Linked DNA regions of Sus scrofa. The protein of the gene in region 2 binds, or shares a complex with, the protein of the main gene of each other region. Links are inferred from orthologs where the notes say so. Each region holds a gene or a part of one and is shown on either strand. Other genes may lie near its edges.

The links.
Region 1: the proteins of PDHA1 (region 2) and PDHB are in contact, whole or in part, in a crystal structure (PDB 3EXE), measured with the Homo sapiens proteins. The link is inferred for Sus scrofa from reciprocal best matches to the Homo sapiens genes PDHA1 and PDHB. Residues at the interface, in NP_000275.1 of Homo sapiens: Ile87, Arg88, Gly89, Phe90, Glu137, Leu138, Thr139, Gly140, Gly148, Lys149, Gly150, Gly151, Met153, His154, Asn164, Gly165, Ile166, Val167, Gly197, Ala198, Asn200, Gln201, Gln203, Gly228, Met229, Gly230, Thr231, Arg235, Ala236, Asp296; in NP_000916.2 of Homo sapiens: Glu59, Gln62, Tyr63, Ala66, Asp84, Pro86, Ile87, Ser88, Glu89, Met111, Phe115, Gln118, Ala152, Gly153, Val154, Ala155, Ala156, Gln157, His158, Pro297, Val323, Arg324, Val325, Thr326, Gly327, Ala328, Asp329, Val330, Met332, Pro333.

The regions. Positions count from the first base shown.
Region 1 is NC_010455.5:40,162,207-40,170,106, reverse strand, and holds the start of PDHB (pyruvate dehydrogenase E1 component subunit beta, mitochondrial), read left to right. Parts: upstream 1-2,604; 5' UTR 2,605-2,662; coding exon 2,663-2,704; intron 2,705-2,789; coding exon 2,790-2,846; intron 2,847-4,411; coding exon 4,412-4,519; intron 4,520-4,609; coding exon 4,610-4,672; intron 4,673-4,778; coding exon 4,779-4,814; intron 4,815-5,242; coding exon 5,243-5,528; intron 5,529-5,914; coding exon 5,915-6,025; intron 6,026-6,369; coding exon 6,370-6,461; intron 6,462-7,644; coding exon 7,645-7,786; intron 7,787-7,900. UniProt on the Homo sapiens protein: The pyruvate dehydrogenase complex catalyzes the overall conversion of pyruvate to acetyl-CoA and CO(2), and thereby links the glycolytic pathway to the tricarboxylic cycle.
Region 2 is NC_010461.5:15,697,373-15,705,368, forward strand, and holds the start of PDHA1 (pyruvate dehydrogenase E1 component subunit alpha, somatic form, mitochondrial), read left to right. Parts: upstream 1-2,551; 5' UTR 2,552-2,833; coding exon 2,834-2,890; intron 2,891-7,996. UniProt on the Homo sapiens protein: The pyruvate dehydrogenase complex catalyzes the overall conversion of pyruvate to acetyl-CoA and CO(2), and thereby links the glycolytic pathway to the tricarboxylic cycle.

The sequences.
Region 1 (7,900 bases), on a different chromosome or scaffold from region 2:
CCAGAGTCTGGCTTCTCTTCAGGTGATTCACTGTTGCTTTACCTTTATGTCTCCTGTTGCTTTGTAACTTTATTTATTTACTTATTTTTGCTTTTTCTAGGGCCACACCTGCAGCATATGGAAGTTCCCAGGCTAGGGGTTGAATTGGAGCTGCAGCTGCTGGCCTACGCCAGAGCCACAGCCACGTCAGATCTGAGCCTCATCTACAATCCACACCACAACTCACAGCAACGCCGGATCCTTAACCCACCGAGTGAGACCAGGGATTGAAATCGCATCCTCATGGATGCTAGTTGGGTTTGTTACTGCTGGGCCAAGATGGGAACTCCTGTTGCTTTGTAATTTTAACCTTGAAATCTTTCAGTGCTGGATGGTGGGAGAGGAGGGAGAGCTGATGCACATTTTCATTCTAAGCAGAACACAGGAATCCCCGAGGGCTGATATCTCAAAAACAGGGGCTTCCCAGGGTTTGCTGTGAGTGGGAAGTGCTGGGGTTTTCGCCAAGTCTTTACCAACTAAAGAATGTCTCTTGCCATTGGGCTCTACAAGGACTGAGTCACTTATCATCAACACACCCTGAAAGGACTTCAGGACGGAGATCAGGAATCAGACACTCTGTGCTCTGAGAAAATTGGCAGAACAGGCCTTTAGGCAGTTACATATTTTTAGGCCAAAAAGATATGAACCCAATTTCTTGCACGTTACCATACTTAGACAAGCACTAAAATCCTTAACTAAAATACGTGTCTCCTGACTATCAGGCACCTTCCATCAAAATGTGTACTTGACTGCATACCCATCTCCCAAATGAGGTATGTGCTTACCTCTTCACAGCAGTTCCTCAGAGCCATCTGAGAGGCAGTCCCCTGGGGCGCAATCCTCAGTAAGTCCTCAAATAAAACTGAAACTCACAGCTCTCACATTGTGCACCTTTACTGCAGTCCACAGATTGAAGGGACTAGGGGACAGTGCTGAGGGAGACTTGGAAGGTCCTCACTGCATACTTGAGAGACAATCTCTCCACTTTACAGATGACAAATCAGAGGCCCAGAGATGAAAGCCCATCTGTATGCAGCTGCACCCAAATTTCTATCTCTGCTGCTACCTAGCTCCAGCCTCTAGCTCCAGGCTCCTATATCCAACCTGGTCTGACCCACTAACCTAAATACAGCGTATTCAGAATGAATTCTTACCTCCCACCTGCTCCCCATCTCCTCCCCTCCCCCATCCATTCAACAGCAACAAACTCCCCAAATCTTCCTCATTTTTTCCCCTTGCCTCAAGGCAACCTTATTGATTCTGGTCCTAAACAGATCTCAAACCTATTCTCTCCTCTTCACCTCAACCCTCCAGAGTCCAGTGCTCCCTCTGCCAAAGACTCTCAGGTCTCCCTGCTTTTGCTTGAATCCCCCTCCTCTCTTTCTCACTCAGCAACCAGACTCCTCCTCACCTGGTCACTTCCCTGCTGCGCTGGCTTCTGAGAGCCCTGAGATTAAACCCAGACTGGCAGCCTGCAGCCCTCAGAAGAGTTTTTGGAATGTCCTGGGCATGAGTAAGGACTGACAGAGTCCCCAGAGGTCCTATCTGACCACCGCCCACCCCTATCCCCACCACTGCATGCAGGGTCAAAAAGAGACCAATGAGAGGAAGCTTCCAAAGGCTTCCCTAATCAGGTATTTGACCCTATAAAACCCTCTAGGGAGTTCCCGTCGTGGCTCAGTGGTTAACGAATCCGACTAGGAACCATGATGTTGCAGGTTCGATCCCTGGCCTTGCTCAGTGGGTTAAGGGTCTGGCGTTGCCGGGAGCTGTAGGTAGGTTGCAGACGCAGCTCGGATCCTGTGTTGCTGTGGCTCTGGTGTCGGCTGGCGGCTACAGCTCTGATTGGACCCCTAGCCTGGGAACCTCCATATGTCCTGGGAGCGGCCCAAGAAATGGCAAAAAAACCCAAAACAAAACAAAACAAAAACCCTCTCTAAATGCAGGTTGTTGTAACGCAGACCCCAACTTCTGCTTCAGGAAGCAGTAATAAAAGACTACCCTTTAGAGTCAGGCAGTCCTAAATTCAAACCCTGACTGATTTAACCAATCCCTGCTTCAGTTTAACCATCTGCGAAATGGAGCTAATGCTATTAATTACCTGAGCGGGTTCTTGTGAGAAATAAGCCATAAAGCACAACACAACGCCTGGCACACGTGAAAGCTTTGGTTCACACTGTAAGAAATCAATAGACGGTGCTGTCCAAGAAGGAGTAGGCTCGCTTGTAAGATTGTAAATTTCCAGTCACCAGTTTGGCTTGGTGCCCAAAGGATTTCAGTGCCTGCGGAAGCCTGGCCTGACACATTCCTCAGCCTCGAGTTAGACCTTTGAGTATGACTTGGGGTCACTGCGCTCCAACAAGCAGGGACGTGCTCTCGGCGTGCACTGTGCGTGCCAGGAACCGCCCACCTTCAGCAAACTTGATCCGAGTGGGCATCAAGCCAAGCTGACGGACCACCCTCGCGCCTCCTCGGCCCCGCCCCTCGACCCTGACGCCATAGGGGGCGGGGCACGCAGGCGCCGTGCCCTGCCATTGGCCGGCACCGGCGGGGAAGAGCGGGCTTGACTCTTCTGCAGCCCCGCGGTGTTGTCATTTCTTGGCGACTAGAGGACACATTCAAAATGGCGGTAGTGGCTGGGCTGGTGCGGAGGCCCCTGGAGCAGGTAGGCAGCGGCTCACTGGCCCCAGGATCCTGCGCGATCCCTGCCATCCTGCGTCCCCTCTAAGCGTCCTTTTTCTCCCCGCAAGGTCTCCGGGCTGCTGCTGAGGAGGCGCTTCCACCGCACGGCGCCGGCGGCGCTGCAGGTAATTGGCCCAGACGCTAACCAGACAGGGAGGGGTCCCTCGTCCTGGGGCAGAGGCTGGGGTGGCATGTCAGCCGCGCAAGGCTCATTGAAATCAGATGGCCGATCTAATTAGACTCCATACTTCTTCTCTCACCCCCTTTAAAATGTACTTTTGTAGTAAAATACAAAATTTCCCATTTAAACTGTATGTTCAGCGGCACTAAGTAATTCACCATATTGTCCGTTCACTACCAGAATTTTATCATCCCAAACAAACTGTACCCATTAAACAATAACTCCTTATTTCCTCTTAGCCCCTGGTAACCTCTTTTGTACCTTCTGTGTATATGAGTATCTATTCTCACTACCTCCTGTAAGTGGTAAATAAAGATTTGTCCTTTATCTGGTTTATTTGTCCTTTTTCTGGTTTATTTCACCATGTTTTTAAGGTTCATCCATGTTGTAGAATGTCAGAATTTCCATCCTTTTTAAGGTTAATATTCCGTTGTGGGCATATACATTTTGTTTATCCATTCATCTTTAATGGACCTTTGGGTTGTTTCCACCTGTTGGATTTGTGAACAGTGCTGCTGTGAACATTGGTGTGCAAGTATCTGAGCCCCTGGTTTCAGTTCTTTTGAGTATAGCTAGAAGTGGAATTGTTGGATCATATGATAATTCTGTGTTCAACTTTTGAGGAATTTCCTTCTCTATCCTTTTTATGTTACTAGAAAATTCTACCAACCTGTGTGATAAAATAACTCTTAGATGCTGAAGGCAACACGTTTGGCAGTACCAGGCACTTAGTGAGTGCTCAATATGTAGTATAATTTAAGCTTACTTGACGTTCTCTGCCTCTACAATATACTACATGTGGAAATAAAACTACCTAGTATACTTTTTTTCTTTGTTTTTATAGCTGCAGCTGCAGCATATGGAAGTTCCTAGGCTAGGGGTCCAATCAGAGCTGCAGCTGCAGGCCTGTGCCACAGCCACAGCAGCACTGGATTCTAGCTGCATCTGTGACCTACACTGCAGCTTGTTGCAATGCCAGATCCTTAACCTACTGAGCAAGGCCAGGGATGGAACCCATATCCTCATGGACACCATGTCGGGTTCTTAATCCACTGAACAACAATGGGAATGCCGTAAGTCTACTTTGTACGTAGTAATCAATCCATCTATGAGCTTATCTGGCCAACAAGCAGATTTTTTTTTTTATAGGTAAGAAATAGATTTATTAAGATAGGATGCTTGTGAGAGGTACAAGTAGACGGGCAAAGAAGCACTGCCTGCAAGCAGATTTCTTAAGCCTAGGTGCATGTCAAGAAAAGTGTTTAATGTATTTCTCATTTACACATCCTATCAAAGACTGGCTGTGAGTGATAGAAATGTTACTTTTAGAATTCTTTGAACTTTTTTTTTGTCTTTTTAGATAGGATTCTTTGAACTTTTAAAGAGAAGCCTGTTCTAGTGATAGTTTTTATATTGTATGCTGTGGGCAGCCTAGGTAAAGGGAGAGAATCTCAATGGTATCCTAAGTAATCCTGTAGCTCATTGACTGCTTTCCCATACCTGTGACAGGTAACAGTTCGTGACGCTATAAATCAAGGTATGGATGAGGAGCTGGAAAGAGATGAGAAGGTATTTCTCCTTGGGGAAGAAGTTGCTCAGTATGATGGGGCATATAAGGTAACCAAGATACATGAAAGCTATACAGAATTGAGGTGGCCGTTTGCCCCCAGGACACTCAAAAGTAATGGGGTCGTTGCTTAATTGTAGGTTAGTCGAGGCCTGTGGAAGAAGTATGGAGATAAGAGGATCATAGACACTCCCATATCTGAGGTAAGCCTTTCATCAGGAAGCAGGCCTTTGAGGAGGCATGTCTATTAAAGTGTACACTCTAATAATTTTTGTGGATTTTTACTTATGTTTGTGTTTCACTTTATAGATGGGCTTTGCTGGAATTGCTGTAGGTGCGGCTATGGTATGTTGTCCTCTTTATGAATCTCATCCAAAGAGATTTCTTTTTTTATTTTTATTTATTTTTTTGTCTTTTTGCCATTTCTAGGGCTGTTCCTGCAGCATATGGAGGTTCCCAGGCTAGGGGTCTAATCGGAGCTGTAGCCACCGGCCTACGCCAGAGCCACAGCAATGCGGGATCCGAGCCGAGTCTGCGACCTACACCACAGCTCACGGCAACGCCGGATCGTTAACCCACTGAGCAAGGGAAGGGATTGAACCTGCAACCTCATCGTCCTAGTTGGATTCGTTAACCACTGAGCCACTATGGGAATTCCCAAAGAGATTTCTTTTAACGTGACCTTTTAAAAACATTATTTGAATGTTGGAGGAATAAAGTGGTTGCTACTCTTGTTTCTTGTCTTTTTAACAATCATGTTTTTGATTTGACAGGCTGGGTTGAGGCCCATTTGCGAATTTATGACCTTCAATTTCTCTATGCAAGCCATTGACCAGGTTATAAACTCAGCTGCCAAGACCTATTACATGTCGGGGGGCCTTCAGTCTGTGCCCATAGTCTTCAGGGGGCCCAATGGTGCCTCAGCAGGTGTAGCAGCCCAGCACTCACAGTGCTTTGCTGCCTGGTATGGGCACTGCCCAGGCTTAAAGGTGGTCAGCCCCTGGAGCTCAGAAGATGCGAAAGGACTTATTAAATCAGCCATTCGGGATAACAATCCAGGTCAGTAGAGTGACCCGTGGGTCACTTTTGAACATTAAAGAACTAAAATGAAATATCTGCATAGTAGGCACCATTGAAAACTTCTACTTAGGCTTAGACGTATCATATGAAATGTTAATGATTTACAGGCAAAGTAAAGATGGGGGAAAATGTGTTGTTTTTCTTATTTCTGACTTACAAGGGGCCAGTTAGGTAAAGGAGAAATATACTGCATGCTTACAACATTGGTTTATCCCCATAGGTAGGATTGACCAGTCTGCAGATGTCAGTACCTAAACCATCCCCAGGAGGTGATAGGCACAGGGCACATTTAAACTTCTCACAGAATGTGAATGACAGTGTTGTATTTGGTCATGCAGTTTTGTTTAAATATTTCTATTTTGCAGTGGTGGTGCTGGAGAATGAATTAATGTATGGAGTTCCTTTTGAACTTCCTGCAGAAGCTCAGTCAAAAGATTTTCTGATTCCTATTGGAAAAGCCAAAATAGAAAGGCAAGGTGAGAATAAGAACTTAGTATACATTTAAACATTACTTGTTATCTGTCTCCTCTATTTATATTGGTCAAATTCAGTCCAAAGTTACTGCTTTTTTACTTTGGGAAGTTTTAGCATGAGTTCAAGTTAAGAATGTGTCATGCCTTGATTGGGAATACATTTGTGCTCTTCTAGATCTCAGTCCAGTGGATTTGTATTTCATTTCTAAGGCTGCAACATTCCTTATCTCACTGGAGTAAAGTGGAGTTTAATATCTTATAAATGAACAATAGCCATAGCTGGCTACAAAGCAGGACTGTGTCTTTAGTTTCAACCTGACTTTTCATCTGTAACTGCTTTGTTTCAGGGACACACATAACGATAGTTTCCCATTCAAGACCTGTGGGCCACTGCTTAGAAGCTGCCACAGTGCTATCTAAAGAAGGAATTGAATGTGAGGTGAGTTACATGTGGGATGGATACGAAGGTGATAAAGTAAACACACCGGTTGCCTATAAAGTATTCATTCTTGGGAGCTGCCATCGTGGCCCAGTGGTTAACGAATCTGACTAGGAACCACGAGGTTGTAGGTTTGATCCCTGGTCTTGTTCAGTGAGTTAAGGATCCAGCGTTGCCGTGAGCTGTGGTGTAGGTCACAGACGTGGCTCAGATCTAGCGTTGCTGTGGCTGTGATGTAGGCTGGCAGCTACAGCTCCAATTAGACTTCTAGCCTGGGAACCTCCATATGCCTCCGGAGCAAAAATACAAAAAAAAAAAAAAATATATAATAAAAAACAATGTGAGGTGAGTGTTCTTAAAGAATTGGAAGGGTTCCTTTCAATTTAAGATCCAGAAAAAGGAGTTTGAGTTCTGTTACAGGTTAATTAGATATATAGATATAAAATCTTGCTTTGTCGCTTAGTTCTGCCTCTGCTTAAAGCTAAGAACCTACTTTTCAAATACCTAGCTTTTTACCACCTAGGTTCTGGATCTTTTTATTTAGTATCTGCTTTGTGTCAAGTTAAGATCCAACCTTAGCTATTGGTTGGGAGAAGAGAAAACTCAGAAAACACTGAGTCTGACCCTTTCATATCCAGGAAGTACCACTTGCTAGTTACATTTGCGCAAGATACATACTCAAAACCCCAGTGTCACAGTTCCCTGGTGGCTCAGCTGGTTAAGAATCCAGCATTGTCACTGCTATGGCACAGGTTCAGTCCCTGGCCTGGGAACTTCTGCATGCTGCAGGCGTGCCTCCCCCTAAAAGTAAATAATTAAATCTCAGTACCATCAGCTTTAAGATGAGGATAATACATTTACTTTCCCATCAGGATGGTTGTGAGAACTATACTTGATGTAGTGCCTGGTACATGGTAAGCAGACACATGTATGATTTTGGTGAGGAGGACGTTAAGGCCAAGGGAGGATAAGTGAGTTCTGTAAGTTAACAGAGCTGCTTGTAATACAGATAAAGATTTTTGTTTTAGTGACAGTTTTCCCATTGACGTTTTGTTCACGAATAGGCAGATTCGTTTTCCGTAGGGCCACAGATTAACAGGGAAAAAAGAAGTGGTATTATGGGGATAAAACTCTTTGTGAGGCAGTGGCTCCATAAAGCTCATTTGTTACATTATCTACTTAGGTGATAAATATGCGAACCATCAGACCAATGGACATTGAAACAATAGAAGCCAGTGTCATGAAGACCACTCATCTCATAACTGTGGAAGGAGGCTGGCCACAGTTTGGAATAGGAGCTGAAATTTGTGCCAGGATCATGGAAGGTATTTCAGAGAAACTGATTCCAGGATAGTCAAGCTGTAATAAACATTGTGTTAAAGGACAAAAAGATCAAAAGTCAGAGGTGGTCAAATGACTTGAATTTTCAACATGTCAGC
Region 2 (7,996 bases):
GTCAGGCCACACAAAATAGGTCAGAAGCAGTAGCGTGGAGTTCCCGTCATGGTGCAGTGGTTAACGAATCCGACTAGGAACCATGAGGTTGCGGATTCCGTCCCTGGCCTCGCTCAGGGAGTTAAGGATCTGGCATTGCCGTGAGCTGTGGTGTAGGTTGCAGACGTGGCTCGGATCCCGCGTTGCTGTGGCTCTGGTGTAGGCTGGTGGCTACAGCTCCGATTCAACCCCTGGCCTGGGAACCTCCATATGCTGCGGGAGCGGCCCAAGAAATAGCAAAAAGACAAAAAAAAAAAAAAAAGATTTAAAAAAAAACAAAAAAAACCAAATATGCTGTCATTATGTCTCCATGACTTATTTTATAAGGATGAAAACATTAATCAACGGTCAACCTAAGAAAGATATGGAAGGAGTTCCCGTCGTGGCGCAGCAGAAACGAATCCGACTAGGAACCATGAGGTTGAGGGTTCAGTTCCTGGCCTCGCTCAGTGGGTTAAAGATCTGGCGTTGCCGTGAGCCGTGGTGTAGGTTGCAGACACAGCTCGGATCCCACGTTGCTCTGGCTGTGGCGTAGGCCAGCAGCTGTAGCTCCGATTCAACCCCTAGCCTGGGAACCTCCATATGCTGCAGGTGTGGCCCTAAAAAGCAATAAATAAATAAATAAAAATAAAGATACGGCAAATTTTTATTTGAGCCAACCTGAGGCTCAAAACCTGGGAGACATCCTCTCAGAGCTGTGAGCACTGTTCTCAAAAGGTAAAGGGAGAGGAAGGCCAGTGCAGTGTGATTTTCGAGAGAGCGGATGTGCAGTCAAGCACCTATCTTGGTATAAGGTTACTGCTATTCACAAGGGGACACATATCTTAGTTAATGGTTTTACTGCTTTTCCAAGTATGGGAAAATGCAAGAAACTGGATTCATCAAATTTTCTCCTGAAAATATCTGTCCGAGGGCTAGTTCTGCCAGTTTTCCCAGAGCACAAAATGCTTCACCCTGATCTTAATCCTGAAATCCTCTTCAGGTGTATTTTAGGTCAGTGACTGCAGTGGCTAATGACTTGATTCTTGTAGAACTGCATGCTGGGCAACATTTTTTGTTTTACAACCCCCCCCCATTTTGATCTTATTTTTGACGAAGATTTGGGAAGCATTTCATGACCCACTTGGCCCACACCACTAGAAATGCTCATTCCCAGGTCAGGGGAGGATTTCCTTGCTAGGACCCTCCATGTGCTCTTATGGGACTAAGCCCTGCTAACAGTAGCCCAAAGCCTCAGGACCACCTGTCATACCAGTCTGTTAGGATCCAGGAAATGGTTCCTTCTTGTTGCTTCTTTCCATATCTAGGGTTACACTATGACCAACATTGATCTGGTAGAATTATATGTATCTTTGGTCCTTCGTTCCAAGTCAGCTAGTCATCTTACTTTTATCAGAGGCTCAGTTGCCCATTTGGTAATGCAAGAAACAGTAGTCTTGTAAAACAGGCAGGATACAAGGAGTATAGCTAGAGACATTAATAAGGTCGTAAGTATTTAAGCGAAGAAATTCCATTCATTGCAGCCCTGTATCTCCCTAGGTCTTGTGACTCAGTCTGTTCTGTACCAGTCGCTATCTTTAAGGGAAATGATACATTGGCATTTGTGCATAAAGTTCACCAAAGATGTCTGCACATACGAGGTGAGTGGAGGGCAATCACGACGATTTACAGGATTGAGCAAGGAATGTTATCTTCAAAGGAGTTACATGGCTGGCTCTAGAAGAAGAAAAATTGAGCTTTATGGCTGAGGAGGTATTTCTGCCATTGGGGAGGTGAGCTTAATGAATAATGTAGATGAACAATGCACACCAGAAAGGGGGGGTGTGTGTGGAGAAGGCCCAAACAGACAGAGAAAACATTTTTGTTTAAATATTTCTTGTCTTGGAGGCCCGGTCATGGCTCAGCAAGAACGAATCCGAGTAGTATCCGTGAGGACACGGGTTTGATCCCAGGCCTCAGTCAGTGGGTTAAGGATTCCGCATTGTCATGAGCTGTAGTGTAGGTTGCAGATGTGGTTTGGGTCCCTTCGCTGTGGCTGTGACGTAGGCCGGCAGCTGCAGCTCCAATTCGACCCCTAGCCTGGGAACCTCCATATGCCACAGGTGTGGACCTAAAAAGACAAAAAAAAAAAGAAAAAGAAAAAATTCTTGCCTTGCTTTAAAATAATAATTTTATTTCATCAGATCCTAGCTCAAGTAGGCAGGGAAGCCTTTTACAACTGTTATGTAACTTCTTAGAGACAAGTTGGCAGCAGAACCATTTATAAAAACCATATGTTCTGTCCTTTGGCCCCATCAGGCTATTAATCTTTATCATCCAGTGTATTGAGCAGAGGCTGCAAAGGTGCAGTACTGGCAAGACTAGTCGCTGGGTAGTATTGCCCTTGAACGATCTCCAGAGGAGCACGGCTCAGCTGTGGCGCCCAATCTAACAGGGTCCATTCCCGAGTGGCCCTGGAGGCGTGGCCTCGCTTTCCCACGCAGGCGTCCTCAGGTCTCCCGCCCCTCACCCGTGTGGTGACGGAGGCAGCCCTCAGCCCAGCTCTCTGGCTCCGACACCCAATGGGCGGCCGTGGGCCTCTCGGGTGGGCGGGGCACGCCCTGAGAGCAATCCTGGTTGGCCCGTGGCCCGGTGCGGCGCATGACGTCTTCCGTCGCGTCGCGTCGCGTCGCGTTCCGTAGCGCCGCCGTTAGGTCTTAGCGTCCTCCCCGGGCGCCTGAAGGAGACTTGGAGACTTCTGGGCCTCGCTGCTTGAGCGGTTGGGAGTCGCCGCTGCTGCCACTGCCCGCACTCCATGAGGAAGATGCTCGCCGCCGTCTCCCGCGTGTTGTCGGGCGTCGCCCAGAAGCCGGTGAGTCGGCCTGAGCGGCCCGTGGCAGGGAAAGAGCGGGACCGAGGCGGGGCCCGACGCCGGAGGACGCCAAAGGGCAGGGCAAGCGGGCTAGGCGGGCGGGTCGGGCCGGGCGCAGCGGTCTTCGGGGAGCCGCAGGCCTTTGTTCTGCTTCCACGTTGTGTGCTGCACTCCTGGCCGCGAGCGGAGCGGCGACTCGGCCAAGCGGCGCCGCCTGTTGGAGGGGGAGCTTTACAAGGTCCACGTGGAGGTCAGCAGTGGTTCCCCGTGCCGGGCTTGTTGATGCGGCCCCAAAATGCCCGCCCCCCGCCCCCCAAAAGAAGCAAAAGTGCCCGTTCCTTTACTGTAGACAGAAAAGGGGGCCTTGGGCTTCCTCGAGTTGGCTGCCTCTTCCTGGCCGGTTCATTAAAATTTTTCCTTAGTTCCTCTTGACCAGGAATCCGGAGACTGACTCCGTTCAGACGCCAGCCTCACTCTTTACTAGCCCTGTGGTCTTGGGCAAGAGTTTTTTGGTTTTGCTTTTTTTCTTAAAACAGCCCGGTGCTCAATTTCCTCATTTCTGAAATGGAGAGTACTTACTCCATGGGGTTGTCGTGAGGCTTAAAGGAGTGACAAGTATGTAAACCTTTCCGGTAGCGCCTGGTACATGGTAGGTGCCGTCAGTATTAAATATTGTTATTATTTGAGTTCCCAATTTGGTATACATTTGTTGAACGCCAGCGCTCGGCTCTGTGGAGTGTTGATGCAGGGTTGGGTTCCAGAGAAACAACACACTTGGTACTCTTTCCTCCCCTCTGCCTCAACGGTGAGCTTTTCCTAGGCAGTCGATTCAAAAGCCGTCAGGCAGAACCCAGAGGGAGGCCCTCCACTTGCACACAGATGCGGAGACACTCTCATTTAGGATAGAAGTAGCTAAAGTGGTGTTTGGGAGGATGGGGTTAGAGGTTAGCGCTATTTATGGCTCCAACTTTTAGACATTCCTAGCCGAAGTTCAGAGCATTTTGACCTCTAAGCACGGGATGGGTGGTAATGTGACTTGGTATCACTGCAGCCAAGTTTTGACTTGCAGTTCTTGCTCCAGTAACTCCCAAGACTGGCAGCTCAGCTTGGTATAGGGCAGAGATCATCGAACGGTTGGAGGAAGTGTACTTCTCTAGGACTGCCATTGATTGACAAACACAGAATGCCATGTGATTAATCTGTATTAGCATTTAGGTTGTGATTGGATCTCCCTGAAAAACAAGCACATTTCACCGTTGTTTTTGGTCTTTTTGCCATTTCTAGGGCCGCTCCTGCGGCATATGGAGGTTCCCAGGCTAGGGGTCGAATCAGAGCCGTAGCCACCTGCCTACTCCAGAGCCACAGGAACTCGGGATCCGAGCGCGTCTGCGACCTACACCACAGCTCACGGCAACACTGGATCCTTAACCCACTGAGCATGGCCAGGGGTTGAACCCGCAACCTCATGGTTCCTAGTCAGATTCGTTAACCACTGAGCCACGACAGGAGCTCTAGTTTTTGTATTTATTTTTTATTTCTATGTACACAAAAGATAAATCCAGCATTTATTGTGCCCTTAATGTGTGCCAGGCACGTGACTATTTAATGTCCAAAACATCAGTTTTTAGTTGAATGTAGGTAATAGAAATATGTTTTCAACATCATACAGGGCCTTAGTTCGGTGTGATTACAGTAGAACTTCGTTTGAATTGATGGCGTTCTACAGACAAGGAAAATTTGTGAGTTTTCAAATTACTATCCCCTGTGTCCCTATGAACAGCGAAAAGTCAATATTTAAAATCAGAGTTTCATTCCCTTAGCTGTCCAAAATACTCCTGCTTGTGGGTTGTTGTCTTCCTGCAATGTGTTGGCATCAAAGGCAGATTGCACTTGGTGTTCCACCTCAGTAAAACTTGGGCCTTCTCAAAAATCATACAATACATCTCAAGTCAAATAGAAACGAGAGTTGGGTAACAGTGATCTGTTAAAAATGGAATATGGGAGTTCCTGTGGCCCAGTGGGTTAAGAACCTGACTAGTATCCATGAGGATGCAGGTTCGATTCCTGGCATTACTCAGTGGGTTAAAGGATCTAGTGTTGCCACAAGCTGTGGTGTAGGTTGCAGATGCGGCTTGGATCTGGTGTTGCTATGGCTGTGGTGTAGGCCGGCAGTTGCAGCCCCACTTCGACCCATAGCCTGGGAACTTCCATATGCTGCAGATGTGGCTCCAAAAGGACCAAAAATGAAATATAACTTTATTTAGTCAAAAATTCTTAAGAGATAAGATTATTATGGCAGAAATGGATTCCTGTGCAGAACAATTTATTTAATTAAAAACATTCTTTACTCTGTCTCTTTCTTCTTGTTTTCTTTTGTTCTACCCAATTATGTTGAGGGTTTCTTGCCCTTTTGGGAGGTTTAATAATTTCTTCTGCCGGTGTTCAGTAGATGTTTGGTGCGAATCATTCTACATGCAGAGGTGTTGTTTTGATGTGTTTGTGGGAGAAGGCGAGCCCAACCTCTTACTCCTCCACCATCCTGATCCTTCCCTAAAAGCATTTTTAATGAGGATGAGAGACTGAAGGAGTTACTGCTCCTTACCTTGAGCTGTCCTTCTTGTTAAGCTATTTTGCATGTTTTTTCTGCTGCCTGCATATGTGTGATTAATTGTACTAAGGCAGAAAGACAAATATTCTGAAGAATTCTGTATTAACCCTGTGTTGGTGGGCTGAAGCCCTATTTAATACTTCCCCTTCCCTGTAACAAAGCAAAACAGCTAATGAGTGTTTCTGTAAGTGGTCGGAAATTGTGAGATGTCTCCAGAGTGCTCAGTGTACTTTGGATTCTTGGGTTCAACATGCTCATTCATCTATCAGGTTTCAGGTGTGTTAACACAAGCTACTTAGTTCAAAGTGTTTTAGATTCATTATAGACTGACAGTTTCTTTCTAAAAAAACCTTTTTTATAGTTGATTTACAGTGTTGTGCCAGTTTCTTCTGTACAGCATAGTGACTCAGTTATACATATTTAATACTTTAAAAAAATAGTCTCGAGCCCTTTGTGGCTCAGCAGTAATGAACCTGACTAGTATCCATGAGAATTCAGGTTCAGTCCTGGTCTCGATCAGTTGTTTGAGGATCCGGCGTTGCTGTGAGCTGGGATGTAGGTTGCAGGTGTGGCTCAGATCCCTCCTTGCTGTGGCTGTGGTGTAGGCCGCCAGCTGTACCTCTGTTTGGACCCCTAGCCTGGGAACTTCCATATGCTGTGGGTGCGGCCCTAAAAAAAAATAAATACTCCTTTCCATCATAGTTTATCCCAGGAGACTGGATATAGTTCCCTGTGCTATACAGTAGGACCTGGTTGTTAATCCTTTCTAAATGTAAAAGTTAGCATCTCCTAGCCCCAAACCCCCACTCCCTCCCCCTTGGCAACAAGTCTTTTCTTTTTTCTCCATGTCTGTGAGTCTGTTTCTGTTCTGTAGATAGGTTCATCTGTGCCATATTTTAGATTCCACACATGTGACATCATATGGTATTTGTCTTTCTCCAACTTCACTTAGTATGATAATCTCTGGTTGCATTCATGTTGTTGTGAATGGCATTATTTTGTTCTTTTTCTGGCTGAGTAGTATTCTGTTGTATATATGTACCACATCTTTTTTATCCTTTAACTCACTGTGTGGGGGTGGTTAGGGATTGAACCTGAGCCTCCACAGCCACTTGAGCTACTGCAGTCAGATTCTTAACCCTCTGTGCCACGGCAGGAACTCACTCAAGCATTTTTCACTTCAGTTTACTCGAGGCTGGCAAGTGGAAGCCTTGGGACACTGTTCCACTCTTTCCTCCTTCCACCTGCCACCCTTCAGCCTATTCAGAACCTTTAGAAGCTGGATGCCAGCACATCCTACAGAAAGTTGAGTCTCTGAAATGAAAGCAGAGAGCTCAGTGTAACTTCAGGTACTTAAGTACCTGTGATGTCATCTTTGAAAGAAGTCAGAATTTTTCAAAGTGCTTATTTCACAGAAGAGTAAATTAACATTTAAAATTTTTATTCCTTATTTTACTGTTTGTATTTCCATTATGACCCGGCTTTGTGAGGTTTTTAACTGTCAGAGCTAACACATCTGTTTCGTGATTGCCAAACATAACCTTTTGTTTGTCACCTCACACCTCTCAACTTTATTTCCCAAATTGCTTAATATTTTTCACGTAACTGTAGATATATTAATGGACTCTTTCTCCTTCTGACTTAACTGAAGCATTTGTTTCTAGCGTATAAGCTTTTCCTCCAGCAATGTCATTGTCTTTGTGGACTTTATCAGATAACAGGTATATTGTTATCTGAAGGTGAAGGTGTGAATAGATAATAGTTTTCTGCCTGTGGGCTTGTATGTACACTTAGTAGATGGGCCTTAACCCTTCTCACCAGGATGAAGTCCAATGCTATGAGCTGGATGGTAAGGTAACATATCAGAAGTATGTTTTGTGGGATCTGAAGAACGTGCTTCAAGTCTCTGTGAAAAAAAGTGATGTTGGTTTACGTATCAGTGTGACGTGGCAGAGTGTGGCTAAAATAGTATACGACTACTAATTGATGAAGTGTGTGTGGTTTAACCTGGACCTTAGCCATTACGTGGAGTACTTTTGCTCTGAATAGTTATGGTCAATTGAAAGAGTGAAAAGGAAACATTTCTCCCAGGTTTTTACTCCCCTAAGTAGTGACAGTCACCTGAGCATCAAGTAGAAAGCACTATTGTAGATAACATCTCTCTTCTGGGGCTTCAGGAGGATCCAAGACAGGGGCTGTTGAAATCATAAAACATCCCTCAGATCTTGTTTTTTTTTAAGTCAGGGAATGCCAAGTACCCTTTGTGTTGTATATTTCTCTTTAAGCTGTTCATCTCATGCTTTGAGTTTCCTTTTTTTTTTTTCTTATTTATTATTTTAAATTACTCAAATGAGTTTATCACATCTGTAGTTGTATAATGATTGTAACAATCTGATTTCACAGGATTTCAATCCTTGAGTTTCCTTATAGTACCATTTCATAGAGAAGTGAATTGCCCGAAATAGGAATTGAATCCTTGTTTTATTTGAAGAACACTT